Linked DNA regions of Canis lupus familiaris. The protein of the gene in region 1 purifies or fractionates together with the protein of each later gene. This does not show direct contact. Links are inferred from orthologs where the notes say so. Each region holds a gene or a part of one and is shown on either strand. Other genes may lie near its edges. The genes, in order: RAB3GAP1 and VAPB.

Region 1 (3,432 bases):
TAATGTAGTGCATGCTGTCTCTGAAATGATCTTGAAATCTCTTGTCTAGCTCTTTTAAAACCATCTTGCTCGTTTCCTTTTCATCACTGTTTCTTTTCTCACCTTTTCTCAAGCTGACTGAATCTTCTGATGAGGTAACAAAATAGCTTTTGTCCCTCATAGTTCCTTGTTCCTTCCCATCCCTCTAACTTCATAAGGTCATTAAGACTAACCACCTCTTTAACAGTCTAATTTGGCATACCTTTCATGCTGATGTTTAGTATAACATGATTTCGTATTTCCATTGCCAAAACAATACTCTTTTTTTTATATTGATGGTGTTATGAAAGAAATCAAGTAATTAGAGAAATGAAAAAAGTATATTGATCAAGGTTGAAATGAAAGCTCTAATTGGATTTTTTAATGCAATTTTAATGCAAAAAATAGATGCCTTTAATACTAAGAACTTCTCTTTTGTGGCCATTGCTGTATTACATGGACCTGTATCACTTCTTTATCACCTTAGCCGCTCAGCAAACAAAACCAGTGTCCCCAGTTTTAATTTGTCAAGTGAACCTTAAAAAGAAATGAAAGAGTGGAGATAAAAACCATTTTCCCAGACTCTGGGGAGAAGCAGCTCCTTACTGGACTGAGGACATCAGACTTGAACTTGGGTTGTTGCTAGAAGAAACGTGTAGAAACCAGTACTACACTTTCCCTCTTCATCAGATGTCGGAATATGGCCCTCACTTTTCAAAGCAGATTGCTTGGCAGTCATTATCTCTTTGTCTCTGTCACCAGTTTATTTGTAATCTCTGGCTGCTCATGCAGTGTTTCAAGCTTCTTGCTTTTTCTGTGTTTTTGAGTAATCATAACATGGCTGACTGCATTACTGAGTAATGTAGAACATTTTTTTATGTATATGTCATGTTTATTCATCTGTCCTTCAAAATGATCGAAGTTTAGCATTGGACTTGCTCTTGAATTTAGCATTTGATTCTGTTCAAGGCTGCAGCCGTGGCTCCACCAGAGGAGGAACTGAAGAGAATGGGCTCTCCAGAAGAGAGAAGGCACAACTCGGTGTCAGACTTCCCCCCTCCTGCTGGCCGGGAACTCATTTTGCGCACCACTGTGCCACGCCCGGCTCCATACTCCCGTGCTCTGCCTCAGCGCATGTACAGTGTTCTCACCAAAGAGGATTTCAGACTTGCAGGTGCCTTTTCATCAGATACCACCTTCTTCTAATTCTTCTAGAGCAACCTCATTTATGGCTTCAGAGACTGTGCTGACCACTCCTGTGGGAGCAAGGTTGTGCCAGTCAGAACTTGAGAGGCCATGAAGAGGACCTGTCCAGTCTCATGATCAGGAATCATACCAGCATCTGAAAGACTTTCCAGCACCGTGCTTGGGCTTTTTTGTATCTTGGTTGGGTCAGAGAGAATGAGCTTGAGCTATTGAAAGATATGTTCCCCAAAGAGATGGCCCTTGTTTGACTAGGGATCTTAGGTAGGAGTTGGGGGGATGTGCAGGGACCAGAAAAGCAACACGAGCTCTCTGTACTCACTCATTTATTCTTTCCCATGGGAAAAGTGGGCTTGTGCTCATTTATTCTTTCCCGTGACTATCTTGTGCTTGTGCTCATTTATTCTTTCCCGTGACTATCTCTTAGGCTGTCGCCTTGCATTCACAGTCTGTATAAACACATTTGTTACATGTGTTAGTATCAGGTATGCAAAACAGAGTATCTATTAATTGGGATTTCTGGATATTTTGGTGGTAGCTTCTTTTCCCAGAATCTGTGTTTTTGAAATACTAAATGACATTGTTTATTCAATCATCTAGTGGCCATTTAATTGTACTAATTAACTTTTGATGAGTATTTTGAATATTCTAGGAGAAAACCTAGAATTTCATAGTTTATGTGTTTTTCCATGTTAACTATGACCTAAATGTATTCCTTCTGATATAACTATATATTAAATGTCACTGCAAATTAGTTTTATACCTTACCTTGTAAGGTTTGTTTCTCTTGTTTTGTTTTTGGTTGCAGTAAGATGCCAACCTGCAAACTGTTCCCATCTCTTGCGGTACAGCATGCATTCCTTTTGTGATTGTTGGCTAGATACTATATTTAATGGAGTAGAGATGAGCACATGCTACAAATATAACTTTGGAACATAGAGATTATCATGTCGTTAGTATAATTTGGTGTATGTGCTAATGTAATGAATATAAGATTATTTCAGTGAACTATTTTGCTTTTGTGTTTTAGTTAAAATGAAAATAATCGTTGGGGATATATAGCACCCAATAGAAGAATAAGAGCAACATATTTCTAGTTATGTGGTGATCAAGATTTATTAAGTCTCTGTTGCTATTTGGCCTCTGTTCAGTCTGAAATCTATTTTTAGGCCTAAACTTCCCATTTTAATCCAAAACAAAAAATGATTATCTGAAGCATAGACTTTGCCTCTGTAATTTAAATAATTAATAGAGCTGTGTAAACCTAATTATATTATTTTTGTAATAAAAAGTGTACATATATATGTCTGTGTGCACATATATATGTATATATGTATATATGAAGTAGGGGAGGTCCTGATTGGTCCTGATTTGCCTCCCAGCCTTCACAGTGCTTTTCTCTGAGATGCTGGACTTGACTGCTGCTGGTAAACCATACAGATCAGGCCTGAGTACTGAGCACTGTATCAAGTAGAAAATGGATCTTTCAAGGACAGGATTTGTCTGCTTTCCGGTGAGGAAGTTAAAGCAAAGAAACGTTTTTTAAAGAGAGGTTGGACTTTAAAATGTCATTGTAAATCTAATAAAAAGAAAAGTCTTGCTTTCTCTGGCTACTTTTCTTTTCTCTCCTCTGGTGGGCGCTTTGGTCTTATTTCAGTTAGTTTTATGCTGTCTCACATCTTCCTAAATATTTGCAGCCTGCTGAGTCTTGCAGGGGTCTCAAGAACGCTCTCTGTGCCTTCTTTTTTAGTGGCAGTTACCCCACTTTACTTTTATTATAGTTATGTTTATTTCACAGATATTTTTAAGCACCTGCTTTCAGGCACTATACTAGGCAGTAAAGATAAAACATAGCAGTACACTCCTTCCTTTTCAGTGACCTTTCTGTCATGTAGGGAAGGTTGATGCTACATTGCCATAAAATGGAGAGTATAGTCAACTCATCTGTGAACTGGAGGTCCAGCATTTATTGTATAAATTCATTCAGTAGCAACAGAGAGTAATACATGCATTATTAGTGAATAATGTGTCTAATAATAAGGTATTATAAGAGAGGTTTTTTTACTCAGGCTTAGGGATCAGGAATATCTTCATAGAGGTAATTTCTAGGTTGGGACCAGAAGATGCGTAGGAGCTGATGAAGAGTTGGGAAAATATTGTAAATTGCTTGCAAAGAAGAACTATACCCTGTCCACTTGTGGATAATTTAAT
Region 2 (3,822 bases), on another chromosome or scaffold:
GCTTGGTCCCTTTAAGAGAACAAAGCATTGACTTTCATTTCCAAAGTGTTGGGTCAGTCCACCTCCTGCTGCCTCCCACTGCCTCTCGCTCCTGATGGGCAGATCTGACACTGCCACAGCACAATGCCATTGGCTTCTGACCCTGTTCATCAGTCCCAAGGAACCGACAGCTGGGGACAGAACGTGGAGCAGCAGCCCAGAGAGTGAGTGAGTGGGTGGGGCTTGCTATGTGGAGGTGACGGCCCTCCCCACCGCACTGGGTTCCAGCTCCCCAAGGCCCGGCACCAACAGGCAGGAAGAGTGTCTTGTTCTAAGAGAAGTAATCAACCCAGCCACATGTACCAAGGCTACACATGTTTAAAATGACACGACATGCCATTACGATTTAATCACGGTTTCCCTTGTCATTAATAAAGACCATTCTTTTCCCCCAATCATTTACTATACATTTTTAACTCTCTAAAGGATTGTTACGTTATAATTGTGTGTGTGTATGTGCACGCGTGCGCACGCGCAGGGAGGGAGTAATTTAAAGGCAAGACCTGTGAGATGTCATCATACATGAACTTCTTTTTTACACATGGTTATGATAAAGTCAAAGCCCAGGGGATGGCGGGCCCATCAATCCAGTGTGCCGCCCTGTGCCCACTGCCTCTACAAGGCGATCTTCCCTATGATCACACCGACGATGAAGAACAAAACCACGAGGGCGAGGAGCCGGGCGCTGAGGCCCTCCTCCTTCCCAGCTGGAGCTAACACAGGCACAGGGCTGTTGCTCTGAGCTGTCTTCCTCATCCGGAGTCCATCTTCCTCCTACGGGAGCAAAGGCACATTTCAAAGACAACCCAAGGCACCAGAAGCAAAAGTCAACTGTCAGTTCAACAGGATGGGCCTTTAAAAAACACACTTGAATCACATGGTGTGGGCCAGCCTCCTCATTTTTCAAAGGGAGAAACTGAATCCCACAGAGAAGGCACTGGGTTGAGGTCACTCAGAATATATTGCCAGAAACCCCTCTTTCCTTCCACCCACCTACACAATGCTGCTAGGCACCTTTTTATACCATACATCTAAGTACCTTGGTTCCCCAGGACTTACAGAAAAAAGCCTCTGAAAGGCTCAGCCAGTCTCTTCTGCCCCCAGGAGCCATCTACCTCTCTGGCCATGCCTCCGGGCCACCCTTCTACATCGGACTCCAACCCTCTCTGTCTTCCCTCCCTCTACGGAGCAGGCTTCCCTAACCAAGTCATCCAGTTTTGAAATGATAGGCATTTCTCAAAGCACAAATATAAAAATCACAAGAAACTACACTGTGCAGCAGCTTTCAAATGCAGAACTCTGTATTGATGAGTTACATGTAGACTGCTGGACAGAAAACATGATATTTGGAATATTAAAATGTGACTGAATCTCATATATGCAGCTCAGATATTTTTCTACTTAATGCATGGAATAGAAACTTTTTCTTCCTTTACTCCCAAGGCCAACTCCACACCCCTCAACAGGGCATGCAGCAAGGCCTCTGTACTTGGGCTCAGGTGCATCTCTGGCTAATTACCCCAACTACTCATCCCCAAACCTGTCCGTCCTGGAGACAACAGGCAGGCCATTGTGCTGACTCTCCACAGCACTTGTGGCCATCTCTGTGGGGCCACTCATCATTCAGCTCATCAGTACTTTTGTCCCCAGCTACCCTGGTCAGCAGGGAGCTCCTCAGTGGCAGGGACAGCTTGTATTTGTGCCCACAGTGCTAGTACATGGGAGGGGCTCAGAAAATGTGTTGGCCAAATGAAAGAATGAAACAACACAAAACAAGAAATCAGTATTTGGCAGGATAAAGAATCTTCTAATGTCAAGATTGGTCTGATAATATTTTAAAGATATTCTGCTCATGGGGCATGGCCAATATCGCTGCACAGTGATAAATGACTGGTGTTATTCGATTAACTTCAAAAAAAAATGGGCACAGCAAAATACAGCATTTATTTTATTGGGTTTATACAGAAGCTATTTCTACCTATTTATCACTTTAAACGGCACAGGACTCTGTTTCTGAAGAGAAATACACTCAAGGAGAAGCTTTAGGCATATCTTAGATTTTTAGTCAAAAAGTAAAGTGTCAGCTTCATAATTTACACCATACTAAAAGAAGTTACTGAACGAGGCAAATCAAGATTACTGCAAAAAAAAGAAGATGATGCCATTCTCCAGACACTGTCAGGTCTCCTGTATCTATAACACTGTCAGAATAAAAGAAGGAGAAGTCAACTGAATGGAATGTATTTATTACATGTGTCTAGTGCTATGGTGGTTAAAGAGCAAAAGCCTAGGGCATGGGTGAGTGGCATGATCGAGAAGTGAACAGACCAGCCTCATATTTAAGCTGCAACAGACGTTCCTATGACCAGATGCTCAGAACCATTCTCTTCAAGACCATGTCTGAAATAGACATACTTTTAAGGCTGGACGGCGCCTCAGACAGGTTTTGTGAGTCGAGGCCCAGGAGATGCTGTGACCATCACAGATCCAGAGCTAGTCAAGTGTGAGCAGTCACTGGCATAACACCGTAGGCCAACAAGGCCAAATGAAGTGCACCCTACTTTCCTTTACTGCCCAGTTCAACCTGACCCTCTTAACACCCATGCCAACTACCTCTTCAACAGCCACAAGCTGGAGACCCGGGTTTCTCCTTCTATAATCTCCACCTGTCTACTGTGACAACTTCCCATCTCCAATCTCATCACCATGTGAACCAATCTGAGGAGATCCTACTGCCCAGACCCACCTAGAATCTTCAAAAACCAGAATTATGCCTATGTTAAAAGAGTACAGGTATTTACCTATTTACCCTCCTAAAGAAAAGATTCTCACCTACTGGGGATATAGTAGGGTTTGACACTGTGAATTCAGGATAACCACTGCAGTTTTGTGTTTAGTCTCAGAATTTATCTTCAGTTTACACTAATGTGAAGGCAAGAGGAGCTCTTACAAGAGGACAAGAGTCTGCAGGCTGAGGCCGGAGAATGGAACCACTGTGAGCTCAGGGCACAAAGCCTGGGTTCAAGTCTCACTGCAAGTACGACCTCAGGCAAGTCACTTAACCTCTGCTCCTCAGTCTCCTCACCTGCACACTGGGGATGGTAACAATCCCTACTCACAGAAAGGTTTAGAGGATGAAATACATTATTACAACATATCAAATACAAGGGAACAAGAATTTAAATAGTTGAAAAGCTTCTCCTCAGACACTGGTTAACTTGAGGGGTGGGAGTGGGGTGGCAGGAGGGAATCAGAGCTCTTTTGAGAACCTGATGAAAGCCACAGAAATTTCTCCCTAGGGGAAGAATGTGTAAATACAAAACAACTCTACAAATTCAGGGATTTGTCAACTCCCCCACTCAAGATCAGAGTGTTAAAAAGTCCCTGTTTTTTATAGATTATCAAGAAATAAAACACTATTGGAGTGCTCAGTTGATAGAGCGTGTGACTCTTGATCTCAGGGTTGTGAGTTCAAGCCCCATGTTGGATGGAGAGATTACTTAAAAAAATAAAATCTTAAAAAAGAAAAGAAAAGAAAAGAAAATGCCATTACCTTGAATTGCTTGTTTTCCTCCCGGAGCCTCTGCACTTCACCCTGCAGCCTCTTACACTCTTCCATCACCTTCTTAACTTCAGTGTCATCCAAAGAAGAACTCAGAGCTTTAGACACCGTTGGTGTTTCTGTCTTTGATGCAGTTGTGGGTATAATTTTATTTATTTCTACATCATGCTGTTCAGAAATAAATGAAAGCGCAAGTGTCACCAACTATGTAATAAAGGACT

Evidence for each region.
Region 2: the proteins of RAB3GAP1 (region 1) and VAPB purify together in Homo sapiens (affinity purification with mass spectrometry; 4 studies listed by BioGRID and IntAct, counting the BioPlex papers as one, with this or other methods). This does not show direct contact. The link is inferred for Canis lupus familiaris from reciprocal best matches to the Homo sapiens genes RAB3GAP1 and VAPB.

What each region holds. Positions count from the first base shown.
Region 1 is NC_049240.1:39,439,625-39,443,056, forward strand, and holds the end of RAB3GAP1 (rab3 GTPase-activating protein catalytic subunit), read left to right. Parts: intron 1-113; coding exon 114-134; intron 135-505; coding exon of another isoform or gene 506-541; exon of another isoform or gene 542-911; intron 912-987; coding exon 988-1,224; 3' UTR 1,225-2,826; downstream 2,827-3,432. UniProt on the Homo sapiens protein: Catalytic subunit of the Rab3 GTPase-activating (Rab3GAP) complex composed of RAB3GAP1 and RAB3GAP2, which has GTPase-activating protein (GAP) activity towards various Rab3 subfamily members (RAB3A, RAB3B, RAB3C and RAB3D), RAB5A and RAB43, and guanine nucleotide exchange factor (GEF) activity towards RAB18.
Region 2 is NC_049245.1:43,976,079-43,979,900, reverse strand, and holds part of VAPB (vesicle-associated membrane protein-associated protein B/C), read right to left. Parts: intron 3,770-3,822; coding exon 3,593-3,769; intron 814-3,592; coding exon 655-813; 3' UTR 1-654. UniProt on the Homo sapiens protein: Endoplasmic reticulum (ER)-anchored protein that mediates the formation of contact sites between the ER and endosomes via interaction with FFAT motif-containing proteins such as STARD3 or WDR44.